4 linked regions of the Arabidopsis thaliana genome follow. The protein of the gene in region 4 interacts with the protein of the main gene of each other region in a pairwise test. Each region holds a gene or a part of one and is shown on either strand. Other genes may lie near its edges.

Region 1 (6,972 bases), on a different chromosome or scaffold from region 4:
TGTGGAGCTCTCTACTGGTTCCTCTCCTCGCTTCAAATACCTCTCACTATCTTCTTTACTCTCTGCATTTACTTCAGTGACAATGTTCAAAGCAACCACACATCGCATAGTAACCAAAACTCTGAACAGGTCCAATACATACTACTTGCTGTTGATTAAATTAGCTTTTCTGTTGGTCAAAAGTCAACAGGTTTGATGAATATGAAACTGAAATTACTCCACAGGAGACTGGAGTTGGAGGAAGACAAAACAAGTTGATGCTCCCTGTAATGGCTCTCTTGGCTGGAGTTTTGGGTGGCCTCTTTGGTATTGGTGGTGGAATGCTCATTAGTCCTCTTCTTCTCCAAATCGGTATTGCTCCAGAGGTACGTTCTTGAGTCTTGTTCTCTAGCAGCATCAGAACCAAAGTTTTACCAAAACAAGCAATTGGATTCTTAAGTTAATCGTGCTCTCTCTACAGGTAACTGCAGCTACATGTTCGTTCATGGTTTTGTTTTCTTCATCAATGTCTGCAATCCAGTACCTACTACTAGGCATGGAACATGCTGGAACCGCTGCGATATTTGCTCTGGTCTGTTTCGTGGCATCACTGGTTGGACTAATGGTGGTTAAGAAGGTTATAGCCAAGTATGGGAGGGCTTCGATCATTGTGTTTGCAGTTGGTATCGTCATGGCACTTAGCACTGTACTGATGACAACCCATGGAGCTTTTAATGTTTGGAATGATTTTGTCTCTGGTCGCTACATGGGTTTCAAATTACCCTGTTAAGAACCAAAATTAAATAAATCCAGTTCTTGTTTATAACAGAACTTGCTTTTATAAAAATTTACACTTACACTTGATATTTCACACAAACCAAATACCAAAGTTACAAACTAATTACACTTCACACAAACTTTATTTAGTATTCTGCTCGTATCTATAAATCTCTCTTAAGCAATATGAACAACACGTGAGGACTGAACGAAACCATCGACCCGTTTCTTAATCTCATCAGGGTTTGCGCCCACGAGTTTGTCCATCGCATTACCATCCTTCAAGAACAAGAAAGTTGGCATCGCCTTTACCTCTAGTTGACTTGCCACTTCCTGACCAATCCAACATAGTAAAAAACAAAGAAAAACCATTAATCATCTACCAATTTAGCAACTGTTTAAATCTTTTACTCTTGATGGTTAAACACTTCTCTTCAACAAAGAAGCCAAAGTAGAAAGACATATCAAGTAGAGAGACACATAAGTAGTTTTACCTTAACTTCATCAACATCAACTATTAGAAACAGAGCATCCTTATAGTTAAACGCAAGCTCTTCGAAGAAGGAGTTCATAAACACAGAAGGAATACACCATAATGCAGTGAAATGAGCCACAATCTGCAAAAAACCATAAAGGAACAACCGTTCTTGGTAATTCATATAAACAAACAAGACAGAGCCATTCATTCACAATCCTGAACATTAATATTCATGGTTCATTCTCACTAACTTCATATCTTAAAGAGTAACACAATTTGGATTTAACCAATTGTAAATCAAATTCTCCATAAAACTCTAATCCTAAGATCTTGATTCTTTCATAGGTCTTGGATCTAAATCAGATTTCATTTTGGCTACTAGAAAACGAAAGTGATAAGAGGAAGAGAGACTTACGGGACAATTCTGATTCTTGGCTTGACTCACATAGAAATTCCATGACTCTGCAGAATCGATTTTAACAACTCTTGCCATCTCTTGGAGCTTCCTTTTTTTCTAAATCTCAAACAAGATTTGGTGATTCAGTGTTTATCTACTTGCATGATGGGACCGAGTGGACAAAAACTATGTCTGAGTCATACACAAAAAGTGTGGCCAGTTATCTTTCAACGAGTTACGAAATAATTTATTAATTTCTAAGATATTTAAGAATAAGTGTTGACCAAGAAAGCTATATTAAAAAGAGAACCAAAAAGAAAATAGATATTTTTTTTATGACTATATGCAATGTTAATGTTTAGAGGAATTTCATTGGTGGTTTCTAAATATAAGTTTCTTAACATTAAAACAACAAAAATAATATTATTTAATTATGTGGGTTTCTTAAATATTTAGAAATTCTCTCCAAAATTTCTTATATAAAGTATTTTGGAGATGGTTTCTTCATTAATCAAAAAACCCACACATTTTTTTATAATAAAACTTATCTCTCTAAAATAAGAAACTTAAGTTTAGAAACCATTGATGGGGTTTGAATCCCCTTACAAGTCAGAATAATAAGGGGATTGAATTAACTTACATACTGCAGAAAGACCAAATCCTTCAAAATGTAAATATTAGGTTTACACAATGATGCAATCACCTATTTAAAAATTTACATCATTGGTGGTCTAACATTTTTTTTTTTTTTTAATAAGCATTAAGACTAAAAACTCAAGATCTCTTACTCAAGACTAATAATTCTGGAACATGAATCTCTTTCTATGTCTCATGTCCAGAATCTAAAATCTTTTTTTTTTTGTCTCTTCCATAACGCACCTCAGAAGTTGAAATCTTTCTTTTTCTTCTCTTCCTTGCCATGCATTTTCCTCTTCCTACTATTCTGCTACACATGCTCGACGACCATGTCACTCAAGTCCACTGGCTTATTGCGCTATTTCTCCTCTTCTCTTGCCTCCTCATACTGTAAAACATTTCCCATAGCATCCAGCTCTTCTGGCTGTAAACTGAAATCCACTCTATCTGTCTTTTGCCCTCTCAGCAAATCAACCCTTTTGGTTCCCGTCTTGTCCTGAGTACCAGTCTTAATAACGTATGTGTGTGTAGTTCTCAGCAATGTTCCAGGAGCAACAACACTCTCTCCCTTTTCTTCAAGTACCTGGTATAGAGCCCTATCAGGTTCCTTTCTCTGTTCCTTACGAAGTTCAATTGCATCCGGTGTCTCAATACCAGTAGGAGTGCTTGACAGAGATTTTGACACGTCCATTGCATCTACATCGGCCTGAGATGCTTTGTTCTTCTTCTTCCGCTTCCGTCTGCGGCGGCGACGGTCGATCTCACGAGATTTCTTGGGAAGGACGCTATCAACGTGTGCGACGATTGAATGAGCGGTCATATTCGGGTGTTGTTGTGAAAAGAGAGATCTAACATTTATTTGTAAGAGATAAAATATAGGGAAATAAAATTGGTCAATATAGCTAATTTCCAAATTTTTAAGGAAGGAAATCGGAAATCTAAACGTCATGCAAAAAAAGAGGAAAAACAATAAATAATTTTATACGTTTTCCAATAATTTTTTGATTATTTATTTTTGGAAAACAGAGAGACACTTTGTTCAATATATATAAACCCTAAGAACGAAGTGGTGAAGGCAGCAAAGCAAAAATCTCAATTTCAACCTCTTAAGTCTCTCCAAAGTCCCATAAACCCTAAAACAATGTCGAGACGTTTCAATCCGTTAGAAGATCCGCCGAGTGCTTCTTCAAGCGACGAAGAAGGTAAAGAAATCGCACGAAACTCTTCTTCGGATGATGAAGATGACGTTTCCTCTGAAAACCCATCACCTTTGAAGACGACTCTCGACGCCGTTTCCGATTCCGAATCTGGTTCGGATGAAGAAACCGATTCAGACTCTGAACTCGAGAAGAAGAAAGATCAAGTTGTGACGAATCCTGTGGATGTGAAGAGGGCTAAGAAGGTGAAAACCTCCGAGAAATCTGGGGCTAAACGTTCTCTTGAAGTGGATGAAGCAGCAGTGTCTATGGATGTGAAGAGGGCTAAGAAGGTTTCAGGGGAAGAGGAGAAGAAGAAGAGTGGTGGCGGAGGAGAAGAGACGAAGAAAACTTATTTCCAGCGACTTTGGACTGAAGATGATGAGATTGTGGTTTTACAAGGTCTGATTGATGACAAAAAAGATACAGGGGTAAGTAATACGAATAAGGTTTATGAGTTGGTGAAAAAATCTATTAGTTTTGATGTTAGTAAGAATCAGCTTATGGAAAAGCTTAGGGCTTTAAAGAAGAAGTATGAGAACAATCTTGGTAAAGCCAAGGATGGTGTTGAACCTACTTTCGTCAAACCTCATGATCGCAAGGCTTTTGAATTGTCTAAGTTAGTTTGGGGAGGTATTAGAATGGCTCTTGCATCTGGTATGAAATCTAATGAGAAGTCGAAGAAGAGTAGTAAGTTTGAGTCTGTGAAGCATGAACTTGATTCTTCTTTGCCCAACAGTAAAAACAACTGTGAAGATGAGGTGATGGATGAAGGAGAAGTCTCTTTTACAAAGTCTTCTCTTGTTAGATCGATAGTGGGTCTTGGCATGGATGAACTTACTGCTCAACAAGGATTGAGTAAGCTTGCCTCAAAGGATATGAAGAGATTTTACGAGCAGTGGAAAGCGATGCAGGCTAGGGAATTTGAGTTCTTTTTGCAGAAGCATGGTTTTCTTTTTGAAGTGCTATCAAAGATATCTGAAGCATTTGGATCAAACGCTTAGATATATTTATGGTTTTTGTTTTTTTGGTTCTGCCTCTTTTGTTTAGAACTCTTGGCTTTTTTATATTATATTTTAGTTTTCTATTGATTCTTGAAAGAGTTTATTTTGGAATATTGCGGATTTATCAAAATGGAAGGAAGCTTTTTTGAAGCAATTTAAGTTTATTTACAGATGAAACATTTTGTGTATCTTGATGAAGAAGACGTGTTATGCGCGGCTTCTATTTGCTAGATTTTCTTGTTGCGCATTCTCTTTGTCTTCTTTTTTAGCAGCAATTGCTGAAACATAATATGCTGAAGTCACCACTCCATGTCCTAGACAAAATATGCCTCCAATAAGAAAAAACCAACGATGTGGCAAGCTGCAGAGTCGATTCGTTCTCGAGTTGGCTAATGTTCCTATCATTAGCGTTGAGTAGCTGACAACAAAAAAGATCCTAAGACAAACAAAGGTATGTCAAAAACAAAAACAGCTGACATAATTCAAATTTGTCTTTTGAATGAAATCCAAAAACCTATTATCTTTTCCATTACCAGGAGAGAACAAGGAAAGCCACAGCGAGTATCTTGTTCGCCGTTGCTCTTTTGAAATCTTGCTTAGAGCGAATGTAAGTGCAGCCTCCAAGCACATTAGCTAGGACATGGACAATAAACAGAAGCACCATTGCAGCTACTCCCTCAGCAAATGCTCCATCGCTGGGGCTTCTTCGACATCCAGAACCTGAATGTCTTGAATGTTGTTGATGATGATGATGAGGTGCCTGAAGGATAAACATCAAATACAAGAAAAGATTATTGGTAGTTAAAATAAAATAAACTACATTTCACTCTTAATATAAAACAGAACCTTGCTTTGAGCAATCTCGGCTTCGATCCCGAGGACTGTAGCTGTAATGTCTGCACATATGATCACAACAGAAACCAAGAACCCAAGTTCACTTTCCATTTTTCCTTGATTCATAATAAAAACCTTATATTTTTATTTGATTACTGTATTTATTTCAATTGTTCTATGAAAGTTTAAGGAAGAGGAAAATAATAAGGAAACAGCATCAGATTACTTTCCTAAGCTTGCCTCTCACTGCAAGACAAAAGAATACAGATTCGGTTTTGGTCTTTCCAAGTAAGTAAAGTTTCATTCCTTTTCTATATAATGACATTAGTTTGGATGCTTTTCTTGTAAACTGGATATAGTAGTAAATAATTCTACTACAAAGATATAATTTCATATTGAATTAAGAGGTTGATCACATGTTTGACTTTTTTACTTTAAAAATGTCAAAGCTCAATAGAGGCAGCATGTGGCGTTATACTCTGTTTTGGAACGTGAAGAGAGGTGAAAATTATTATTCCCATATCTTTTTTTCTTTCTGTAATCATATTATGCTAAAAATTATTATAATTTTCCAGGTTGTAATTGGAAAAGAATCATACAGGGTTAAGATTTGATCATTTTTTTTTAACATAAACGTCAAATTTTAGTTGTAATTTTCTATTTCTAAAAAAGATTTTTTAGTTTGTTCTTTCATGGTGTGACATGATATCATACGTTTATGGAAATCTTCAGTCTCATTTTGGAAACAGTTTGTGTAGATATGGTGAAGCAGGAACAAACAGAAACAGAGCTGTGTCCGAATCAAAGCCAAATCTTCATAGAATATCTTTATAATTCACATCTCTCCCAGTGAATCCAAAGACGGATCTTGAACAAACATGCGTGGGGTTTGGCTTTATCTCAAGAAGTCTCTTAGCTGCTGCAAGGCACAGAAGTCAACTGTAGCTTGTGATCCAGACAAGATCCAAATTCAGAAGAAGGAGAATCCATCTGGATGCTCAAGAAGATCAATGTCGAATCTGAGAGATGTCTTTGTAACTAATGGAGATGAAGGAGCTATGCAGAATGTAAGCTGCTGCAGCTCACGGTCTCTTGAGAGCTCCAGGTTTGTAAACACAGTGAAATTTGAGGAGAATGCAGGTTATTCAGACAGATTCAAAGGTTTGCTTAGCGGAGCATCTTCTTCTGATTTACTTCCCGGTCGTTGTTCAGAGAGATTTGATGTTGTTGGCTCTGACATCTGCGGTTTCGGAGTTCTTGCTTGTCAAAAATGTCATGAGAGAGTCAGAGATCTTGACGCGTTTGAAGCACATTACCTCTCTAACCACTCTGGTAAGACTTGAATTAGATGAACTTTTTCATTGACTTTTAGCCAATGTTGTGAGGAGAATTTGATTTGTTTTTTCTTTTTTGCAGTCGTTAGACTCTTAGCAGGAGATTTCTCAAGAACAACTGTGGAACTAATCTGCAACACAGGCTATTCTCACAAGCTAGGCAAAATGAAAGGGAACAACATTTCAGCGATCTTTAAAATCCAGAACTTGCAGAGAGTTGTTGCAGACTTTGAAGATTACAGAGAGCTCGTGAAAATAAGAGCAAACAAGCTTTCAAAGAAGCACTCTCGTTGTATGGCTGATGGCAACGAGTTTCTTGGGTTCCACGGTACAACTC
Region 2 (8,214 bases), on a different chromosome or scaffold from region 4:
TTCAGATCACATCTCAGAGATTCAAAACTCAACACAGAAGATCCAAATGAAAAATCAAAATTATCTAAAGAATCAAACTAATGGAACCTCAAATCCTTCATCAACATATAAAAAGATGAGTTTTTTGGTAACGAATTTACCTCATCGGCGATCATTGCGATGAGGGCAGAGTTGCGAGCAGGGATCGTAGCTCTCCCAGCCATATTTGATTCAACTACACACGATAAACAATTCCAGAACAAAAATCAATCCAGCGAAGAAGACAATTATCGAAATTGGGTAAAAACCCTGATCAATTCCTGATCTTAGATTCGAAGATAAAGCAAAAGCTCATAGATTTTACTCATTACCTCTTTTTCTCTGTTCTTCTCTCCTTCTTCGATTTGATTTGATAGATAGATTTGTGTAAATCACAACCAAAGACCACGCGCAAAAAAAAAACTTGTTCAGAACACGATTCAATTGACAATATTACCCCTGACTATACCTTTAATAACGATACTACCCTCCTTTAATAATTGCTCATTAACAGTAAAAGTGGCAAAAGTGTAAATATATACTAAAAATAATGATGAGTGCAAGTCCCATCAAAGCCAGCTTGCCTCTTCGAGGGTACGTTTGTCTTTTCGACATCTCTTTTCTTGTCTCTACTTCAGAAAAACCTCCTGTGATGATTATTATATGTGAAGCAGAACAAAAGCAAAAAGAGAGAGTCAGAGGAAGAAGAAGAAGAAGAAGAGTCAGTGAGCTGCAATGGCGGATTCTCACTCAGTCAACAATCAGCTCTCGAGACACACTTCCATTTTTGGTTTACGTTTATGGGTTGTTCTCGGCGTTTGCGTTGGAGCCGCGATCGTTCTTTTACTCGTTCTCATCTCTCTCTGGTTCATTTACCGACGAAGCAACAAGAACAAATCTCTTGAGTCTTCTTCTAAATCTAACCATACGATTGTTCCCGTTGTTTCCAAGGAGATTCAAGAGATTCGACCTCCAATTCAACCCGACCCAACACCGGAGCCACACCAAAACCAACAAAGAGAAGACGATAACAAAATTCACATCGAAATTGGTAAAGATCATCGGATTGCGTACCCGGAACGAGGAGGTTGGACTGGTTCCGGGTCTGGGTCCGGGTCGGGTGATCAGGGTTTACTTATGTTGTCGGGTCCTGAGGTTTCTCATTTAGGTTGGGGACATTGGTATACGTTGAGAGAGCTTGAGGTTTCTACTAATGGATTTGCTGACGAGAATGTGATTGGACAAGGAGGTTATGGGATTGTGTATAGAGGTGTTCTTGAGGATAAATCAATGGTGGCTATAAAGAATCTGCTCAACAACAGAGGACAAGCTGAGAAAGAATTTAAAGTCGAAGTCGAAGCTATTGGACGCGTAAGACACAAGAATCTGGTGAGATTGCTTGGTTATTGCGTTGAAGGAGCTCATAGGATGTTAGTTTACGAGTATGTTGATAATGGGAATTTAGAACAATGGATTCATGGTGGTGGTTTGGGGTTTAAGAGTCCTCTTACTTGGGAGATTAGGATGAACATTGTTCTTGGAACAGCCAAAGGGTTAATGTATTTACACGAAGGTCTTGAGCCTAAAGTTGTTCACCGAGATATTAAATCGAGTAATATCTTGCTTGACAAGCAATGGAACTCGAAAGTTTCTGACTTTGGGTTAGCTAAGCTCTTGGGTTCGGAGATGAGCTATGTGACTACTCGTGTGATGGGTACGTTTGGGTATGTGGCTCCTGAATACGCGAGTACCGGAATGTTGAATGAGAGGAGCGATGTTTATAGCTTCGGTGTTCTTGTTATGGAGATTATTTCAGGGAGAAGTCCTGTGGATTATAGCCGGGCTCCGGGAGAAGTGAATCTTGTGGAATGGTTGAAGAGATTGGTGACGAATCGAGATGCGGAAGGAGTTTTGGATCCGAGGATGGTTGATAAACCGTCGTTAAGGTCATTGAAGCGTACCCTTTTGGTAGCTTTAAGATGTGTTGATCCTAATGCTCAAAAGAGGCCAAAAATGGGTCATATCATTCATATGCTTGAAGCTGAGGACTTGGTCTCTAAAGATGATCGGAGAAACTCTGGAGGAGGAGGAGGAGGAATAGAACAGGGAAGGTCACCGCGGAGGAAGACAAATGTGAATGAATCAGAGGATGAGAGTGGTAATTCTGTTCTGATCAACAATGACCAATTAGCTTTGGAGAATAAGCAGAACTAGTAAAAAAGAAAGAAGCTTTGGCATTATAATTTTGTATTACTATTTTTAGAAGTTTTTTCTTGTGTGTGTATATTTATGTGTGTAGATTCTTAGCCCTTTCACAAAAAAAAAAAAAATGTGTGTAGATTCTTGTAATTTTGCAATAATTAAAACTGGGGATTGCTTGAAAAATATATATATGGTTTGTTTTTTTGTATTCTTTTGGTTCGTTCTCTATTGTAATATAGCCTACATAGTGGTGATTTGTGGTATTGGTGACACTATGTTAAGGTCAAAAAGAAATAGAGAGTAAATTCCATATATATGAAAATTGAAAATGACTGTTTAAATTTACATATGGCGCGAAAAAATGATCTAGTTCGTTAATTATTTTTAGAAGCTTTTTGTGGTAAATTTAGATTTTTAAAAAACTCCATATATTTTTTTTTTATAATTTAGGCTTGTCTATTGTAAATTTGTAATATAGCTTAGTGATTTATTTGTTTAGCTTCTGGTGACATTTTATAAATTTTTAATGACCAGTATAATATAGTATTTTTTTATAAATTAAAATATAATCTAATGTTTTATGTCAACTTCGTTGTTCATTGAATAAATCAAACTTTGAAGAATAATTAAATAACAATGTTTGCAAAAACTGTTACGTTTTTTCATGTAAACATTAGTGGACGTTATACAATAGATATTTAAATTATAAAAACTATTCAAAGAATATTGTAAAGAAATAAAACAGAAATGTGTAAGAAAAAATGTTTATTTTATTGTACGTAATAAAAAAAGAGAATATACTTGTGTGGGTGGACCTAAATGCAAATAGGCAAAGTACCGACAAAAAAAGAAGAATCAGAAAGTGAAAAAGAGAGCGAGCGATGAACAGTATCTTCTCCATTGACGATTTCTCCGATCCTTTCTGGGAAACTCCTCCGATTCCTCTCAATCCCGACTCTTCTAAGCCTGTTACGGCGGATGAAGTTAGCCAGAGTCAACCGGAATGGACTTTCGAGATGTTTCTCGAAGAGATTTCTTCGTCGGCGGTGAGCTCTGAGCCACTTGGTAACAACAACAACGCGATCGTCGGTGTTTCTTCGGCGCAATCTCTTCCTTCTGTTTCCGGACAGAATGATTTCGAGGATGATAGTCGATTTCGTGATCGCGATTCGGGAAATTTGGATTGTGCTGCTCCCATGACGACGAAGACGGTGATTGTTGATTCCGATGATTATCGTCGTGTTCTTAAGAACAAGCTTGAGACTGAGTGCGCTACTGTTGTTTCTCTTCGGGTGTGTTGTTAATCTTCTATTTTTCTTATCTATATGTGTAATTTGTGCGTTTTGATCTAAATCTGAAGCTCTGATGTTCTCTTCTTAGGTTGGGTCTGTGAAGCCTGAAGATTCGACTAGTTCTCCAGAAACTCAACTTCAACCAGTTCAATCCAGTCCTCTTACTCAAGGTAAGAGTCTCTTCTTAGTTTCACCAGGATAGATGAGCGATGATAAACCTGCAGATTCGTTTCTCTGTTCTGTGTTTGTTAATTTAGATGCCTAGGTTAAGGAATTAGAAATAGAAAATGGTACTTTTGTTGGATCAAGCGCCTAGTTTTATCCGTCAAGTTTCAATCTTTTTGTGACTGACTTTCTCATTGAAATTAAACTGCTTTCTGGAAGAACAATAAGCTTGGGATTGAGATGAGTTCTGGTGGTTAGTTCAATATATGGGAAATCATTATTTCAGCGCTCGTCTTTCTCTTTCAGATATCTCTTCTGAGTCTTAGACATAGTAAGTTTTAATCGTGGTAGGTTCTTTGATGACCCCAGGAGAACTTGGTGTTACTTCTTCCTTACCAGCTGAGGTGAAAAAAACTGGTGTATCAATGAAGCAGGTTACTAGTGGATCGTCGAGAGAATATTCTGATGACGAGGACCTTGATGAAGAGAATGAAACCACCGGTTCCTTGAAGCCAGAGGACGTTAAAAAATCTAGAAGGTAATCATTACTTTTTCTCCAATTTCTTGTCGTTTGAAGATTACATTTATAGAGCCTTGTTCTTCCTTTTAATATTTGTAGGATGCTGTCAAATCGTGAGTCAGCTAGGCGATCTAGAAGGAGAAAGCAGGAGCAAACAAGTGACCTCGAAACACAGGTTTTGTGTTGTATCCTCTCAACACCTCATTTTTGTGTTGAAGGATATTAATGAGACCTAATTTGTATTTTGATAGGTTAATGATCTAAAAGGTGAGCATTCATCACTTCTTAAACAACTGAGCAACATGAATCACAAGTATGACGAGGCTGCTGTTGGCAATAGAATACTAAAGGCTGACATTGAGACATTAAGAGCTAAGGTAAGAAGACTTAAGTATTATCCTCCTCTCCTTTTTCTGAACTACCCTTTTTTTGTATACAGTTTTAGTAACTCCCATGTTATGTTAAGGTGAAAATGGCGGAAGAAACCGTGAAGAGAGTAACAGGAATGAATCCGATGCTTCTCGGAAGATCAAGTGGACATAACAACAACAACAGAATGCCAATAACTGGTAACAACAGGATGGATTCTTCTAGCATTATTCCAGCTTATCAACCACACTCAAACCTAAACCATATGTCAAACCAAAACATCGGGATCCCAACCATTCTACCTCCAAGACTCGGAAACAATTTCGCTGCTCCTCCATCCCAAACCAGCTCTCCCTTGCAGAGAATTAGAAATGGGCAAAATCACCATGTTACTCCAAGCGCCAACCCGTATGGCTGGAATACCGAACCTCAGAACGATTCAGCATGGTAAGCTAAAACATGGCTCTTTCTTTTAAGACCATTGAACAATTTAAAACCATTTGAAGTACTATGATCCCTGTTTATACATATCAGATTCCTGTCTCCCCTTTTTTTGCTCATTTTACAGGCCGAAAAAATGCGTGGACTGATCAAACAAGAAGCGGGTTTCGCACTATATTAATGTCTATGCATCTGTAATTTGTAAGTGTTATTAAGTTACGAATCATGAGAAAACATCTTGTGAAAATACAGTCTCATGGCTTATATATATATATAAGCTCTGTCTTATAACATTACAAGATTCTTATTTGAGAATCGTCTTTCTATTTATAGCTAATAACAGAGTGTATATCTGTTTTTATCCAATTTTAAAAAAGATAGCTCACATGGCTTTACTAATTTCCCCTATCATTAAATTCCGACAACCTCGGCGATTTCCATGGTAGATCGATCAAGCATTCACATTTTCTCGTCAGAAAACACAAAAAAAAAAAACAGAGGAGAAAAAGAGACGACGACAAACAAGTGAAAGAAAAAAGTCGTCGTTCTTCCAATTTTTTTCTCCTCTCTCTTCCTCTGTTTAACGGCGTACGTAAGTCAAAATGGGTTCAAGTAAGCTAAAACGTGCCATAGGAGCCGTGAAAGATCAAACAAGCGTAGGATTAGCCAAAGTCGGTGGTCGAAGCAGTTCTTTAACGGAACTCGAAATAGCTGTCGTGAAAGCGACGCGACATGATGACTATCCAGCGGAGGACAAGTACATTAGAGAGATTTTATGCCTAACTTCTTACTCACGCAATTACGTAAGCGCTTGTGTGGCAACTCTCTCGCGACGGCTCAACAAGACCAAGAACTGGTCGGTTGCTCTCAAAACCTTGATTTTGATCCAACGGTTGCTAACAGATGGAGATAGAGCCTACGAGCAAGAGATCTTCTTCGCGACGAGACGAGGAACGAGATTGCTTAACATGTCTGATTTCAGAGATGCGAGTCAGTCTGATTCGTGGGATTACTCTGCTTTTGTTCGGACTTATGCTTTGTATTTGGATGAACGTCTTGATTACCGGATGCAAGGAAGACGAGGGAAAAAAAAAAGTGGTGGTGGTGGTGGCGGTGATGGTGATTCCGGCGAGGAAGATGATCATCGAGGGACAAGCAACGATATTCGGTCGAAAGCTATTGTGGTTAAATCTAAACCAGTCGCAGAGATGAAAACAGAGAAAATCTTCAACAGAGTACAACATTTACAACAGCTTCTTGATCGGTTCTTGGCTTGTCGTCCAACAGGTAATAATTAATTTCCTTGGAACACACGCTTTTCCACTTTCGGATTTCTTGGTTAATAAGTTAGGTCTTTTGCAACAGGTAATGCGAAGAACAACAGAGTGGTGATTGTGGCTATGTATCCGATAGTAAAAGAGAGTTTTCAGTTATACTACAATATAACAGAGATCATGGGAGTATTAATAGAGCGATTCATGGAATTAGACATTCATGATTCCATCAAAGTCTATGAAATCTTCTGTCGAGTTTCTAAACAGTTTGACGAGTTAGATCCGTTTTACGGATGGTGTAAGAACATGGCAGTTGCAAGATCTTCAGAGTATCCAGAATTGGAAAAGATTACACAGAAGAAACTTGATCTCATGGATGAGTTTATAAGAGATAAATCAGCTTTAGCTGCACAAACAACAAAATCATCATCAAAAAGGTCTAACAAATCTGAGGAGGAGGAGAGCAAAACAGAGTATATTCAAGAAAATCAAGAAGATTTAAACTCCATCAAAGCATTACCCGCACCGGAACAGAAAGAAGAAGAGGAAGAAGAAGAGAAAATGGAAACAAAGAAAGATGTTGAAGAAGTGGTTTCAAGACAAGATCAAGAGGGTGATTTGCTGGATTTAACAGATGAAGCGGGTGTAACGGCAGGAACGGTTGGTGATAGTTTGGCGTTAGCGTTATTTGATGGTGTCGTTGGGACCGAGAGTGCGTCTGGACCGGGGTGGGAAGCGTTTAACGATAATTCGGCGGATTGGGAGACGGACTTGGTGAGATCGGCGACAAGATTGTCGGGACAAAAGAGTGAGCTCGGAGGAGGATTTGATACTTTGTTGCTTGATGGAATGTATCAGTACGGTGCGGTTAATGCTGCGGTTAAAACGTCTACGGCTTATGGAAGTAGTGGAAGTGCTAGTAGTGTGGCTTTTGGTTCTGCAGGAAGCCCAGCAGGTAAAACAAATTTAAAATGAAATCATTTTTCAATTTTTATCTTAGTTTCATGAGAGTCAGTTCAATGAATCTGATCTAAATGATGATGCAGCCTCGATGTTGGCATTGCCAGCGCCGCCACCGACAGCCAATGGAAACAGAAATAGTCCGGTGATGGTGGATCCATTCGCGGCGTCGCTAGAGGTAGCCCCACCAGCATACGTGCAAATGAATGATATGGAGAAAAAACAAAGATTGTTAATGGAAGAACAAATAATGTGGGATCAATACAACAGAAGTGGAAGACAAGGTCACATGAATTTCGGACAAAACCAACAACAACAATATTATCAGCTTCCATACTCCATGGGACCTTACTCTTACACGCCTCGCTATTGATATTATATAAATAAACAATCACCATTAATGAAGAGCTTGAAAGAAAGGTGTTAGCTTCTTTTTTGTTGTCCCTCTAACATTGTAAACTCTTCTGGTCACTATTTGTGAACAACACCTATGATATTATTATTATCATTATAAACCAAACTGATACTCCCTAGTAAGTGAAACTCATGAAACATTTGAATGTTGAAACCCCCAATTTTCACTTTAACATATAAAACTGAACTTTCTTTTAATGCGAAACAAGTTTCAAATATCTCATTACTCACTGTATATAAATGTCTATACGCTTTCTTTCTTCACAGAAACAACAAGCGAAGCCAAAAGCAATGAAGACTTCCATGAGCATCGTCGCCGTAGTCTTCTTTGTGACCTTCCTCGCTATCTCTGCTGCTCCCTTAAACCCCCAAGAAGCTTGCATACGAAGAAATATCAACAGGTCGCAACCACCAAGATCTTCTTCACTCGAAACGGCCAAGACGTCAATGTTTGAATCTCTGAGGGACAATTTGTGCAAAGACATGGCTCGTGCCGTCATGTTCTATGTGAGGATAACCGGAAAATTTCCATCTAACTATGTTAAGGCTATGTGTAATG
Region 3 (8,256 bases), on a different chromosome or scaffold from region 4:
ATTTATATAAATAATATTCATCAGAAGAAGAAAAAAGAAAGAAATTTAATCATGTTGAGTTGTGGTATAACCTTATCGTTTTCCTTTTGACGTCGTCTATAAATTTTTATCTACTATGGTAAGCTAAAATATAATATGCCATCAAACCCATCAATCTTTTTGCTTACTTTATACATTCATGTATCACCTAAAACTAAAATTAGAGGAAAATTTGTTCATCTAATACATCTAAATTACTCAAAATTTTATGAGACAAATCATTTAAGTATTACTATATAAAACCAAGTACATGAATGTATCGTAGATTCAGACCATTCATCACGACCCATATCCCTATGCTCACCAGCAGCTGTCTTTCTTCCTGAAAACGTCCAAGCCCTAACTTTTTTCCATTTTCCTTCCAATCTCAATTCACTTTCTCTTTTCCAAATTAAATTTTTCTTGTTTCTTCTTAGTTTTCTTTTTTATGTTTTACCCTGAAACTTTAAATACATGAATTATCGAATGATATATCGTCCAAGACCAAGTTCCGATCCCGTACGACGCGTGGATTGCTATTTCCATGCACCAAGCCTACTCTCTCCACTCATTAGTACGTATAACCACATTGCATGCATGCTCGTATCACGTGCCGTTACCTCGCCGGCCATGTCCATCAACGGTTATGAATCTGCCATTTGGCACAACCTGGAGGGTTCAATACTGTTGGGACCACGACCATCATCATCGTCGGAGTTTGATGATGTTTTTTAATATTTTTTCACTCTCAGGTTTTGTCATTTGCTGCGAAACATGCATATTGCCATGTACTTGTATTTGAATACTTAGGGTTCTTGTAATAATTGCTCGATATAAATAGAAATTTAGAGAATATTCTTGCTGGGAAGATTACAAATACTTGAAATTAGTTTCAGTCCGACAAAGAAAACAACCCTTATTTTTACCTCTTTATGTAGCTAAAGCAGTATTTCTGCAATTTTGAAAATAGTATAGGACACTCAAATGCTTAATTTTATATATTCATTTGAAAGTGTACATGTATGTGTGTTTAAAAAAAAATCGTTGGCACATCATTTGAATGCAATTGATTTATATGCGAAATTTTGATTTAGATTTAGTTGGCATAATTTTTCTTTTCCTCTTCACAAACTTTCCAGCTGTTTTAATCACATGATAATTGTTGGGCGTAATCGGTGTGGGCGTAATGACGTACAAAATCAGACATTTGTTTTTGGGGCAAAAAATCAGACATCTTTTAGAAAAGCAAGTAAAATTTAAATGTTGTAGTTATTGAAGCTGATAATAATAATAAAATATAGTAACTTTTGGTTTAAGATTTTTATTTTTTAAGTCAGGCCAGCTGAATTTTCTGCTTTTTTATATATACATAGTGTGATAAAATTAGTCAGTTCTTATCATCACTTAGCTGTTCTTTTGTGTAAATAGCTGGGTTTTTTCTTATATATATATATATATATATGTTGGTCAATGTTTTTTGAACCAATACCATTTGCCTTAGTTTGTTTTGTGATTGCAAATGTAACCAATGAAACCCAAAATAATAAGCATACAAATGTGTACATATATTCCTTTAGCTAAAACATCATGAAATTTTGCCATTTAGCAAGACGTATATGTGAGTCTGTGAATTTGTCTTATGACTAGGTAGTATAGGTTGGTGATGCAACAAGAGCAATAATTGATGATGGTAATGATGATGATGATGATGATGGTTGTGTTACACACATACATATATCATACTCCTACTAGTATACACACGTGAAATGAAAACACATATATAATGGTAATAAACAGAGGTATTATTAATTATGTCTCTTTCTAAAAATAGAAATGTGAAAGCCATCCTTCTGAAAGTGAGGTGGACTGTTGTACAAGATCTGAATTTGGGAGTGGTCCGTTCGTCAGCATGCGCATCATATTCATCATCCCCGTTTCAAAATCCTTAATTTCAAAACTACTTCTTTTCTTTGGTGGGTTTACAATGCATTAAGTTAATCAAAATTAGTATGTAAATTATTTTCAGTAACTACCATGTACATGCATGTTATCTTAATCAATTAAGCCAAACGCAAATTGTTGTGTTTAGTCTCATATGTGTACGATTGTAGCAAGAAGATACACCTAACTGAAAATGGTGTTCATAGACTGATTAATCCACTGAATTATGAGTACTTACTTTAAAAGCATGAAACTTTCTTGAAATATTTTGGCAGTTACACATGTCAACCTTAATTAGCTAGAATTAATAAACAAAAACTACATGCATGTTTTACATTTGAGCATCTTCAATTGATGAAGAAATTAAATAATTAGCCATGTTATGTAATTACGGAAATCATCTAACCGAAGATTCGGAACGGTTGAATTCCGGAAACATATATATAACCGCCATATCAAATTGTATTAACAAGAAGAAAACTAAGGTATCTAGAAGCGACCGAAGAAATTCATTTTGTCGGTAATATACTGTATGATTGTATTGATAACCAAGGACACATGTCAAATATCATGAGAAATATAAAACATGAAAAAGCCATGAAATTAACATAATGTCAAACATTACAAAAACGAGCATAGCTTATACATATGCACGTTCATAGTCTAGAAAACATTTTCCTTGCATATTACCTCCTAATTAACACAACCGGATAAACTTAAAACTAGAGAATTAAGCGGAACATCAAGCTAAGTGCAATATTAAGCTCCTCGGTACACACATTTCATAATACCATAATCATCCTAGAAATACATAAATAAAACCCTAACGGGAACAATTATAAGTCACCTCTTTTGTGATCAGTAGTTCCAAATACAGTCAAGTCCAGCATGAAGCACACCGACCTTTGACTCATTCTCTTCGGCAGTCGCCGGTAGCCAGTAATTCATCCCGGAGACGCCTCCGCCGCCTTGGAAAGAAGGCAGATTAACGGCGGAGGTCATAGTCGATGCAGAAGACGATCCAAAGTAAGGAAATTGATTGAAGTTTTCTTGGAACGATCTGAAGTTAGATTGAGTCGAGACGTTTCTAGAAACGAAACGAGGAAAAGGGTCAAAGTCAAACCCTAGCGGCGGTGGAAGACGGCTGAATGAGTTAACGTCTAAGCCCAAGGCCGTAGTAGTAGTAGGGACAGTGGAGAAACAGGACACGTGCTCGGTTATTGCGCTGGCTGTGACGGTTGTGTTGGTGCTACGGCTGTCGTAGGAGCAACTGCTGTCGGTGTAGCCGAGGGTAGTGGTCGGATCCAGGAGAGGTGGGAGTGAGACGGAGGAAGGAGAGCTTGGTTGTTCTTGATAGTTTCTTGAGATTGTTGAGGGTACTTTCGTCTTTTTAGATGGACCAGTACCGCTGCTTACGCTCACAGTTGCTCCTCCTCCTCCTCCTCCTTCGGAGACGGCTCCGGTGCTAGCTAAAGTGGTTTTCTGGAAAACCCTAGAGATCACCCATTCATCCTGAAGGAATAAATTAGAGTTTTGAAAAGTCAAATATTTTATATAATATATGTTTGATGAGAAAGTCAATGTTAGATCTTGGAAATAAAAGAGAGTGAAGATTAAGAAAAACCATAGAGTAAAAGCGTGCACAGAGGGAATGTACATTGGACACTACAAGTCTACAATGGATATGGAACACTAATTAAGTAAAATTAATTTAATTAAATTTCTTTTTAATATATCTAGGTCAGAAAAAAATCCTGAAGATTTGCATTGGTTCTGGTTTTTTGCATTAAGCTTTCCAAAAGTAGGATGTATTAATATTTTATTTTATCAGAGCTATTGAATGTTTTCTTACTTTAGGAAAACACCATTATGATTGAAATCCCAATACATAAAAACAGCAGATCTTTTCTATTTCATGTTCCATAATGCTCTCAGATAACCACAGTAAAGAACCATGCCTTTTCAGCCATCAAAATTAAATGCAATAAAGCAAAAGAGAAAAAAATCAACGTCACCGACTATGTCACACTCTCGAATTTTTTTTCCAAATAATAGATTGTAAATTTATTAATCAAAGAAAATTAAGGCTTTACTTTATCAACAAAATAACTAATGAAAGGTTAAATCGAAGTACCTTGGAGCTTCTTGAGATGAAATGGTAAGAGAATTTGCCTTCAAGACGATATTCATGCATAACCCAATTACTCTTCTCTCCTTTCGGAGCTCTTCCTTTGTAAAAGACAAGAGTCTTCTTCATCCCAACAAGTGCACAAGTCTTTGAACTAAAGATCTCTCTGTCTTTTCCGGTAGCTTTCCAGTAACCAGCCTCAGTTGCTCTGTTAGTTCTCAGTCCCGTCGGATACTTCCGGTCACGGAGGCTAAAGAAGTACCATTCTTTCTCTCCCATCTTAGCTCTCCCTAAGTAACATTGAGAGTAAAGATTTCAGAAACCTTAATTACAAAAGAACTACAAGTAAGTTAGTTTTGTATTTTCTTACCGGGAAGTTGCCAAGGCTCACACTTGTTGAGATCAACTTCTGCGATGGCACGGCTTGAGAAGCAACCGTCGAGGACTTTGCGGAGAAGGTAATGAGTGATGAGCTCTTCGTCCGTGGGATGAAACCTGAAACCCGGTGGAAGATATTGGCTGTCTCCGCCATGGTCGTAGTGGTAATACGGAATGTCCATTAAGAAGAAAGATCTAAAGCTTTTGTTTGAGAGAGAAAAAACCCTAAGGAGACTCAAATGTTTTGAAGAAGAAGATAAATAGGTTAATATAATGGATGGTTCTTGAGTAAGGGGCGTGGTAATAATGTGGATGGATATTATTTTTTGGTTTTATTAGTTTATTTTTTTTATACATTGGGATTTGGTAAATCTAAAACGGCGAAATAGAGGGAAGCTTTTTTTTTGGGGTAGTGAAAGTAAAATAATTATTAAAAGATTAAAAACCAGAAAGTCGTAGAGAAGATAATTATAAATTTAGTAATAATAAAAAGACAGGTACGTCTACTCTTTCATAGGAATCTGTGGTTTTCTCTGCCTTGTCTTGTAGTAAAGAGAGCAAAGCCAAAGCAGATTATTACATCACATTTTTGAGTTTATCGATATATTTTTTACATAACTCGAGATTGTTTTAAAATTACAAAATTAAAATTAATCATGAAGTGTCCGTATTTCTTTGAATTAAATTATTAAAGAAACGAGGAATGGGCTCTTGTTTCTATCTGAGTATGCGTGCGTGCATGAGAAAAAGTGCAGTGGTATTCTCTGTCAGTGATGAAAATAAAAGAGAGGATTCAGATTGTATCTTTTTTTTTATCTACGAACTTGAAATTTCTTTTTATTATTGTGTTTGGAAATTGGGATACATAATAATTTATTATACGTACAATGACTAATCGAAACAATAGTAGTATAGTGAGGGATACATTATTAGACATATACACTAGTTATTTGGAAAGTGAAGAGTTTCAATTTTTATTTTTAATAGAAAAATGGATATTATATCGATAAGGCTGTTTCAAATCTTGGAGTGTCAGCACAGTACATGATTAATTTATCAAAAACTTTGACAGAGACTTCGTTACTACACGCCACCACCTTCTACACCTTTCACCTCTCTTTTTTTTTTCCTTGATTTTCTTTTCGTTTTTGTTTCATCTTTTCCATTTTCCAATTTTTTACTCCTGTGATGGATTTTTAGTTACTTTTCATTGCTTCATATTCATTTGTAAGACTCAGCAAAAGAAAATTAAATTTCATTATTTTCAAGCAACGAGATTTATGATGTAAGATTGAAAAATAATTTAATCAAGAAGTTACAGGTTGCAAATCAGAGAAGATATTTATGCTGCCTGGTTTTGTAGTTTTCTTAATTACTATCTCAAGTCTGTTTTTTCTCCTTTTTTATATAAATTAATTATGGCTCATCAAATAACTAATTATCAATTATGTTGATTGTTACAGGTCCACCAAAATGACATGACTAAACGTAAATTTCACAATTGTTAATTTATTTCTGTTACTTCCAATATTTTGATTATTATCTCATACAAATTATTTATTTTAGTGGAACTTCAATTTTAGCCCTATTTGACATGACTTGTTTTTTAAAATTTCCCACCCAAAAATGTACTAAAGAATAAACTAAAGAATAAAAGACACACCCAAAAATGTAAAGACCTTAAGATCAAACTAAAAAGATAGTGAGTTGATCAATTTCTACTAATAAATTAACTACAGACTTATTGACTATTTTAACCGTATGAAAAAATTGTATAAACTTAAATCAAAATAACTCTCCCCTTCGAGTATTCATATCTACGGACTTATCATGTGTGTAACTATTAGTTAAAAAAAAGAAGATGTTATAAAGTATGCAAAGTAATAATTATACATTAAAAATCATTATCAGAGACATGCTAAGACTATTACACCTGCTACTACTGTTTAATAGTAGTATTTATTACTATCTAGAAATTGTAGGTCTATCTATACGTCTTTTTAGACATATCTGCATATGACAGTAACTAAATCTAATTAATAAGATCCTTTCCTGTCTTAATTACAGATAGTTGAAGTAAAAGATTATCACCAAGCTATGAACCGAAGCAATAACATTATATAATTGTAATTACTTGAATTTATGAAGTTTTGAATACATTCTAGTGTGCCAAAGTGTTAATTGTCTTAAACTGAAAACAATGGCCAAACAGATTACAATGTTGATATTGACCTTGCCAAATTTTAGAAATTTGCTTTACTTTATCTTAATTTAAACATATATTTTTCACGGTTAATTTGTTTGTTTGCTTAGCATTTTTTTCATAACGAGAAAAATATTCTTATGACTTTAAATATCTAATATCCGTACTTTTTCAAGGTTAAAATGCACACTCCCTACTTTCTATCACCTTCATTCCATTTATGCTATATTTTTGACACTTTAAATACCACATTTATCCCCTTTTGATTAATTAACACAATAGTAGAGTGTTTGATATTCTATATACATATCATCCTCTTTATTTTATTTTTCAATTTCTTTTCCAAATTGTTTATATTTTTCTATTGATCTGAAATTTATGGCTGCTTTCGAACACCAAAATGGATTTGTTTTTCTCTACAGAAAAACATATGTCCTACCATAAAATTCGTTGTTGTTTTATCAATCATTTATTACAAAACTTTTATTTATTTTCTAAAATGTTTGGTAATACCGCATATCATCTTTTTTTAATAACTGCAAAAAGCAAATGAACAAATGCCAATAATAAACTATTTGACGTAAGAGAACCCAATAAAATAAATAATGATAGCATTATAAATGCAGGAGGTTAACACAGTATTAAGAAACAGTAGATATTCCCTTGTGACCTACTCACTTGAGTAAACTAATAGCCCAATCTATGTTTAATTTCTTTTTGTGGTCAACATTTTTTTGATAATACATATTTGTAATTTTTATGGTTCGAAAGAGGATCTTACTTCAGATAGACTTTCCCAAAACAAAAACCAAATTATTTGTTATCTCGATGGTCAAGCTCAAGCAGTCGAAGAGTAGGTAAGGAGAAGAGCAGTTAATATAGCATTATATGGCTACATGGACTCTGTTTTCTGTAATGTATAAATAATTGTATACTGTAAATATCTTAATTTATGATATATATTTAGATTAAAGGCAATTGTGTAAGAAACGTCGAATTTGAACTTCTTTATCAAATAATCAGAATATCAGATAATAAGTAAAGATCGTCTAAGTTAAACTAATTTAGTGTATAGGCATTGATTATTCTTTCTTCTTCTTCATCTCTTAACTCTTCCTCTAGTCGACCACAATGCTAATGATTTCCTGAGGAGAAAACAAAGGAAATGCTGATCCATCTGAGTGAATCACCGTCGTATTTGATGAAGGAGGTGCTTCTCCTTCTCGGTCTTGAATGTTGGACACTTCTTTTATATATTGTTTCAAAAAATGTGAACAGATTTGTGATTTTCACTTTTTTTTACCCTTTAGTTTCTTACGAGACACTTCTTTGGTGTGTTTTTTTTCTTGGTCCCCTTTGATAGCCTTACACCTAAAACCTAGCTGTTGATGCAACGTCTCTCTATTTTTTTCCTTTTTTTTTGCAACTTGTTCGCGTCTTCACTCTTCAAGACTATAGTACAGCCCCATATATAAATTTTACCTGTATACTATATATTTGTTTTACATACGTAGAATTATTTTCTCTCTTAACTTGTATTTTCTTGAATTGCACGCTATATCTGAAGAAAATGTAGTAGGATCGAAGT
Region 4 (7,472 bases):
AAGAATGACACATCAATAGATAGATCTGGGAACAACATCGAGATAATCTCATATTTGGATCAGACAAGACAAGATTTTGTACCTTTTGTCGGACGAGCTACCCTTCTGGCTCAGGAAGGATCTGAATAGACCAGAGTTCACATCATAGATCATCTTCACTCAACTATCTCGTAAGCTTCGATTACCGGAAGAAGGGGAAGATCTGGACAAAATCGATGAAACGGAAGCAGTTTTTTTTTTTTATATAGCTTTTTCGATCTCAGAATTTTGCTTTAGTGGCTGCTACAAGATACGAGTATAACCCTAAGTTTGCACATTCCAACCTTTTTATATTGTCTGGATACGTACTTGAGCCACTTTGGATCATTCTCTGTTTCGGCCTTTTCTCTTTTTATGGCCCAAATCCACCGAACATAACGATTTCTGAATTGGCACGAATTTTTTGCCCTTTGATGAAAGAAAAATCTCGATGGGTTTATCAAAAATAAGAATCAAGAAAAAGAAAATCAAAATCTCTCAACTGCAAGGACCAAGAAGTTGGCGTTTTTGGGTGCAGAAAAACGACACAGCGTGTTACTAATCAATGCCAAAATATTTTACATATGAAACAAAGAAAAGAGAGAAAAGCTTCTTAAATCTTAATCCGAGTCACTAAGGTAAAGTTCTCATGAGAGTAGGGTAACGAGGGAAACGAATTCAAGGGTAACTCTTCCCTTTGATCTCGTGTTGATGACGAAATGCTCCGGGTATTTTCTCAGCAGCATCAGCAAACCGTACCATGGTTTACCTTTTGCTTCAGGGATAGCCCAGTCTTCTTGTGATAGGTATCTTCTTACTCGACTGTGATGCCATACGTTTCCATACTCCTTTAATATCTGTCACAGACCAACCACTACCATGCATTAGCCATCATATTGAATCACAAAGAAGTTCATAGTCAGACTACACTAGTCATTCAAAATCTATGGAGTAACTGACATACTTTCTAGACTTAGACACATATAAGTAGCGTAGCGCGTTTCCATTGGAAAACTAATTAAGGACCTAGCTTCACACTAATTATCACCTTGACATTATACAAGTCTTGTTTCAATTGATTACTCGTACTACATTCTGTATTAGAAAAAGGCAAGGAACTTTCTCATAAAAACTAACCACCGAATGAAGTTTTTCCATAGGCATCCACTCTCCCGGACCACACAAATCGGAAAGCACAGTGGCAACAGACGATACAACATCTTTTTCCTCCAGCTGCAAAAATTGTTGATCATCAGCTTCACGATCTACCTTTGATCTTCCCTCTCTCTTCTTCTCTGCACAAATGAAGCAGATACAATGTCGTGGTGTCACTAGCATTCAAATTCAATCCAAGTCTAACAAGGTTCAATCAGCAACCACCACAATCAAAGTCTAAAGAAACAAGCCTGATGTGATCAAGTAAGCATCATAATCTGAAACATATCTAGTTGCACAATGAAAACTCAAACAATCATGAGCAATCTGGTTTTACCTCCGGAAGCATATACTACTTCATGTCCATCTCTCCTTGTTTTCTTTCCACTTCCTCTCATATCGTCCTCCTCATCGTCGTCGTCATCATCATCTTCATCATCGTACTCATACAACTCTCTACTCCTGACGCCCTTCTTACCCGACCCAGAACCTGGACCCGACTGATAATTATGGTATGGAACAACACTTGTTTGCCCAGAGACGTGGTGCCTAGGTCCCAACGGCCCGCCTAAGATGCTCCGAACCGGTAGGAGAAAGTAGAACTCTTTGTCTCCGATCTGCAAAAGGTCTTGTGAATCGAGCTTGACGTTAGGATTCCCAGGGAGATGAAGAACACCTTCAACGAGGCAGCCATTTTTGCCAAGGACCTCGAGAGAGAAGCGTCGTCTAGTGAAGTCATAGAAGATCCGAGCGTGGTTGCGCGAGATGTTCATCCCACCGCCGAGGGATGAGAGATCAACGTCGACGGTGGCTTTCTTAGAATTCCGGCCGAGTATAATGGAGTAAGACTGCATATAGTACTCGAAATCCTCACCTTGAAGCTTCGCAAATCCAACCTCCACATCGCTTCCGCCACCAACAGCCGTAGCCATGCCGTGAAATTCTCCGATTTGATCGAAAGAGGAACCGGGACTTCCAAATTAGGGATTGCAATCGTAATAATTTGTGAATCGAAGCAAGATTTGTTTGGAAACTGGTTTAGCTTATCCAGGACAAAGGCTTATTTTGTGAAATTGACGATTATACCCATGATTTTAAGACCTGAATAAAAACCCTAATGACACAACTATTTAAAACAGCCGAAGAAACATTGAGAATGGCGGCGAGATCTGTGAGCTTAAAGGTTCCATCTCTCCCGCAAATAGTGGAGCATCTTATTGATTGTTTGAATTTTTTGATTTCGTTTGCTTTAGAACATAGGCTTGGTTAGTTTTATGTAACCTTTTGTTTATTTTCGTTGTTGGTTTGATTGAATAAGTTGCCAAATGATGATTGAAAATTTTGCGCAAGGGTTTTGAGTTTCGGATGATTGGAGTTTACTCTGGTCTGAAGGAACCGTGACAAAATTATTTTCTAATAATTCATTCTGATGGCAGCTCAATCATTGTTAGATATATCAAATTTCAATTCGAGTTTTGGGTGCATGGTTTGATTCGGATGGTTAATTGTAGTTTGTTTTGTTAGTAGAAGCTTGGTTTTGGGGCAGCTTAATGAATTTTAGGATTCAAGTTTTCAAATCATTTAGCCTATAATGTTCTGAAATGTGTTGTGTAATGGCTTTGATTTCCTGAGGATCTGACTATAGAATGTTTAAAATCCTGAGGAACGGTGGGAAATCATGTATTTGTGTTTCTTTTTTTTTTTAAGATTCAGGTTCTACAAATTATGCTTAAAGGGCTTTGAGCTCCTGACCGCTTGTATTATGAGATCCAAGAAAATGTGAAAAGTCGTTTTTTTTTCCTTTCCCATTTTGATGGTTTGGGTTGCATTTTACTGTTCTTTTAGTTATCATGACTATGCTAGATTCTGGTCTGGACATAAGTTGCTTAAGATGTGTGGAAATTATGCGTAATGGATTTAGAATTGGCAATTTGTTATTTGAAGGAATTCACTTCTATAGATATCCTTTAATGGCACCCGTTCATGGTCAGCTCCAAATATGCAAGAAATCGGAAAATGCATTAGTGTAGTCCTCTTTTCTGGTATATTGTCAATACTCAAATCTTACATAAACTTTGTTTCAAGGACAATGAAGCATGTGGTCAAGATTTTGAGCCTGCTGGTAGCTGTCTCTGCCTTTTAGTTTGCTCTCTTGCAGGCTGCAATTATGGCTCGTAGCCAAACATAGTTGGTTAGTAATGAGTCTGTTGTGCTCATTTTTGCTTATTGCTATTCTCAGTTAGTCAATATTAATAATGTATATCTTTGCACCAGCTACCTATATACGTTGTAGTGTCCTTTGCTATTAATTGTTGGAATCGGTTTAGTGCAGTTCCCTACCTCTCCTAAAGAAGCAGTTTTTCTGCAGCGGGTACTTTCAGTACTCTTTTCTTTCTTTGTTAACTCGAATTGTTAATTAAGGTTAAATTAAGTTCTTGACTAGTGCTTTTGCTCCTAGCTGTTGTTAATGTTGATTATGTACTAGTTTGTTTTGGTGCTATTGTTATATTGCAGGATATTGCAGATGCAAAAAGACTTCTTAAGCGCTAACGGAATTGATGTTGGATCGGATTTGACACATTATGGTTTACTTCTTTTCAACTCCCTAACCAGTGTAATAGAATACTTGGAGTCTTCGATGGTTCATAGAAAGAGTTCCCATTTTCATTATGTACAGTCGTTTACTATGTTTTTTTGAGAGATGTACATTGAGAAACCGGTGTTTGCAATTGGATTTTGTTTTGGGGTTTTAAACATGATGAAGAACAATGTTATTCTGATAAGTTCACTTTAATTGACTTTTTTTTTTGGAATATCGTTTGTTACATTTTTTCTCGTGTATACAATAAGTTGTGAATCCAACTCTTTCAAGTTTAAACTACTTGAGATTAACTTAAATGCTCCAATAAAATTGATTGAATTGGATTTTCTAGTTTTGTTTGTTTTGAAGTAAAAAGTTGGACTTGAATGCTGATAAGTGATAATAAATTGACTTGCAACCATAACTGAACCAATCTAACAACATGTAACTATTCCAAGTTTATTATAAGCTAGATTTCTGAAATGGAAATGTCGTTTTAATTTTACATTTTTGCCGAGATGGTTAAAACTGGTAATCATATACATTACAATTTGGTTAAATGACCAAATCTATTTGATAACAAAGAGAGATATAAGTTAATGAAACCATGATTAGACAAATCGACAAGCAAAGAAAACGTTAAGCAAAAAACACTAATCATAATAAGCAAAAAGTCCATCCATGTTCATCACATGTACAAAGATCCTCTCTGTCACTCTAGACTTTTCCTCTGTTTGCTTCTTCTTACAAAATGACACACTTAAACCAAATAAAGAAAACATTTCCCCCAATCTTTATACATTTTCTTTTGAATTAAAGAAAAAAATAAAAGTGATAAAAGAAGAAGAAGAAGTCCCCAGCTAGCTCCTTAAAGAAGCACATCTCTTTACTCATTTCACGATTCCCCTGTCTCTTGTTTCTCTCTCACTTACCTCTTCTCGAGTTTTCTCCCATTCTTGGGTCTTCATCGAGACCAAATCCGGAGAAAGTTGATGTTTTTACAGCACAAACAGACACAGACACATACATGTGTTGTGTCTCCCTAATCCCATTATTACTAACTCGCATCCAATTCACACTTCTCTCCTAAATTCCCATCCTTTTCAGATCCAAAACACTCTCCTCCAAAACCCAGATTGCCAAATTAGGGAATTTGACACAAAACCCATCTGAGAGCATAATCAAGAGATAGAGAGACAATGGGAGTGATATTGGACTCATGGTGCTTTTGTAAAGGAGTTGGCAAAAGCGAGAAGATGAAAGGTTCCATTTTTACCGGCAAAGCTCCGGCGATGGCTCGAATCTCTGTCTCCGGACCAAATGGTGTTACTTCTGGAACTGGATTCCTCATTCACCGGAATCTTCTTCTGACCACTCACCTCAATCTTCCTTCCATCTCCGCCACCGAAACCGCCGAGGTCCGCCTTCAGAACGGTGTCGCTGCTGCTCTCTTCCCTCACAGGTCCCACCTCTCTCTTTACTCTCTCTTGAGTTTGATTCAAAATTTGATTTTTCATTTTCCTGTGTTGTCGGTTGCACGATCCTGGTAAATTTTGATGCAATGCCATCAAAAAAATTGGCTCTTGTTCAAATTTTCAAAAATGAATCCATATCTTTTCGTCAAACCAAAAGAACTTAAAAGAAAAGAGCTTTATACTGTACTTATGTTATATGGTAATGATTCTGGATCTGTAGCTGAATTTGGTAAGTTTTCATTTTAATTTCATAAACTTTAAACCAAAACATTGATATATCATTTTGTGATTATTGGAACATGAAAATTCATTTGTTCAGATATTTCCCAAAATGGAAACGTCTTGATTGCATCAAACATAATAAGAACCAATCTGAATTGTGGATTTGTTTGGTCAATGATGGTGTTTTCTGTTCTTTAGCTATCAGAAAATGAGTGTTATCTTTATATGGTGTCATTTGCAGGTTTTTCATTACGAGTTCAGTTATTGATCTCACTATTGTTGGCTTAGACCTTGTTGATGGAGACTCAAGTTCCCAGAGCCAACTTCAACAACAACCACATTACCTGAAGACATGTTCCAAACCAAACCTGGATCTAGGGAGTGTGGTGTACCTCTTAGGCTATGCCAATCAGAATGAACTCAAGATCGGCGAGGGAAAGTTAGTTGTAGCTACCGACAATCTCATCAAACTCTCAACTGATGAAATGATTTGGAGTCCTGGATCTGCTGGATTTGATGTTCAAGGGAATCTTGCATTCATGATTTGTGATCCGAGGAAACTATCGACATCACCAACCTCAACCTCGTCATCTTCCTCTTCTTCTTTGAAGAAAGATAACAACAAGACACTGATGATGCAGTTTGGTATACCAATACCAGTAATATGTGACTGGCTGAATCAGCATTGGGAAGGTAGTTTGGATGAACATACGACGAAACCTAAGTTGCCTCTCATTCGATTAATGTCTTCTGGTCAGAAGAGTGAGCGTTCTTGTACTTCATTCACCATGCGCCGTGTTTTCAAGCCAAACGACTCTGCTGATGTTGGAACACCATCTTCATCTAACACTAGAGATCAAACTCATCCGAGCTCTTCTATCGCTGCTGAGGAAGAAAAAGAAGAAGAAACCTCAAAAACCAATCCACAAGTCTGCGGAACTACTACTCATGCGCAGGGTATCCCTACCCCTGAGATATATGAATCGCCAAAGTTGACTTCTGGTCCTCTAAGAAATGAGACAGCTCAAGTACACCTTTTGGACATCAACTTTCCTCCACGGATACCTAAAGCTATAACCTTTCATCCTGAGCTCAACTCTCTACAGAGTAACCATATAGTGGAAGAGGCTGAGATTGTCTCTGAAGGATCAGATGCGCAGATTGCTTCGACAGGTTCAGTAAATGGTGCTCTCAGTGAGGTCATCTCAAGTTCACCGCCAGCAGCAGCTCACTATGTATATAACAATCATGGATACAGCAGCGAGGAAGAGACAATGTATTCTGCAGAAACAGCAGAAAGCCGAAACTACCCAACTCCTCCAAGAAAAAGCGAGTTTCATCATGAGAGAGTTGGAAGGAGTCAAAGCTGTGTGAGCTCCAGCAGATGGGGAACTCCTCAGAAGAGTTTGAATGGTAGAAGAGAAATGCTGGAGAAACAGAGAAGCTTCGTCCATGGGAAGAAGATGCATTCACAAGGAGCAATGTCACAGAGGAGTAATGACTATTACAGCCCAACGGTCTCATCTATCATGAAGAAAAGGATTAATAGTTCAGAGCAACAGATTATCAAACCGGTACCTAGACCTAGAGCTGTTAGTTCTTCACCAAGATGGGCGTTCTAAGGTCGATACAGACCGGAGAAAGAGCCACCTTCATAGAAAGAGAGACATCTTTGTTTAGATTTCGATATCTCTCATTCTTGTATAACCAATTTTATTTTAACTCTTGTGCAGACATATTGAAGAAAACAACAAATAGGAAACATAGAATCTTGAATCGATCGGGTTTAAGCCCTTAAAGCAATCATTGATTTTGAGTTCCTGGAAGTAAAAAAGTATTTTCGTTTTTGCTATCAGAACATAGATTGGGCCATGACTGTTGGATGTGTTCTTTGATCTGCACAGCAATGATTTCATGGGAATGATACCAAAAGAATAATCTTTTCATAAGAGGTAACTGTGGACCAACAGAAAAATGTGCAGATGCCATTACTGCCTTCTAGTGAACTTGAGAGAGAACAT

What was found.
Region 1: the proteins of FHA2 (region 4) and AT1G11510 interact in binary tests that used the Arabidopsis thaliana proteins (3 or more experiments, as listed by UniProt).
Region 2: the proteins of FHA2 (region 4) and BZO2H1 interact in binary tests that used the Arabidopsis thaliana proteins (3 or more experiments, as listed by UniProt).
Region 3: the proteins of FHA2 (region 4) and CUC2 interact in binary tests that used the Arabidopsis thaliana proteins (3 or more experiments, as listed by UniProt).

Annotation. Positions count from the first base shown.
Region 1 is NC_003070.9:3,869,273-3,876,244, reverse strand, and holds AT1G11510 (DNA-binding storekeeper protein-related transcriptional regulator), read left to right. Parts: upstream 1-3,315; 5' UTR 3,316-3,408; coding exon 3,409-4,467; 3' UTR 4,468-4,522; downstream 4,523-6,972. Other genes in the region: AT1G11540 (Sulfite exporter TauE/SafE family protein), read left to right, coding at 1-129, 225-365, 461-769; CXXS1 (C-terminal cysteine residue is changed to a serine 1), read right to left, coding at 934-1,089, 1,251-1,373, 1,650-1,727; AT1G11520 (pliceosome associated protein-like protein), read right to left, coding at 2,626-3,216; AT1G11500 (transmembrane protein, putative (DUF1218)), read right to left, coding at 4,675-4,903, 5,001-5,227, 5,314-5,427; AT1G11490 (zinc finger (C2H2 type) family protein), read left to right, coding at 6,180-6,633, 6,718-6,972.
Region 2 is NC_003075.7:1,150,930-1,159,143, forward strand, and holds BZO2H1 (bZIP transcription factor family protein), read left to right. Parts: upstream 1-3,024; 5' UTR 3,025-3,101; coding exon 3,102-3,512; intron 3,513-3,600; coding exon 3,601-3,682; intron 3,683-4,028; coding exon 4,029-4,215; intron 4,216-4,296; coding exon 4,297-4,372; intron 4,373-4,448; coding exon 4,449-4,574; intron 4,575-4,663; coding exon 4,664-5,013; coding exon of another isoform or gene 5,014-5,017; exon of another isoform or gene 5,018-5,134; coding exon 5,135-5,156; 3' UTR 5,157-5,427; downstream 5,428-8,214. Other genes in the region: AT4G02620 (vacuolar ATPase subunit F family protein), read right to left, coding at 141-203; AT4G02630 (Protein kinase superfamily protein), read left to right, coding at 754-2,232; AT4G02650 (ENTH/ANTH/VHS superfamily protein), read left to right, coding at 5,610-6,294, 6,373-7,236, 7,328-7,614; AT4G02655 (uncharacterized protein), read left to right, coding at 7,896-8,214. UniProt on the Arabidopsis thaliana protein: Transcription factor that binds to the C-box-like motif (5'-TGCTGACGTCA-3') and G-box-like motif (5'-CCACGTGGCC-3'), ABRE elements, of gene promoters. Binds to the 5'-ACGT-3' motif of seed storage protein (SSP) encoding gene promoters (e.g.
Region 3 is NC_003076.8:21,899,149-21,907,404, forward strand, and holds CUC2 (NAC (No Apical Meristem) domain transcriptional regulator superfamily protein), read right to left. Parts: upstream 4,707-8,256; 5' UTR 4,648-4,706; coding exon 4,458-4,647; intron 4,378-4,457; coding exon 4,094-4,377; intron 3,472-4,093; coding exon 2,818-3,471; 3' UTR 2,556-2,817; downstream 1-2,555.
Region 4 is NC_003074.8:2,292,601-2,300,072, reverse strand, and holds FHA2 (SMAD/FHA domain-containing protein), read right to left. Parts: upstream 2,188-7,472; 5' UTR 2,106-2,187; coding exon 1,511-2,105; intron 1,314-1,510; coding exon 1,156-1,313; intron 876-1,155; coding exon 666-875; 3' UTR 501-665; downstream 1-500. Other genes in the region: AT3G07230 (wound-responsive protein-like protein), read right to left, coding at 83-153; AT3G07210 (uncharacterized protein), read left to right, coding at 4,954-5,216, 5,693-7,073. UniProt on the Arabidopsis thaliana protein: May play a role in the control of plant organ development and specifically in the regulation of stamen development. Does not show transactivation activity in yeast.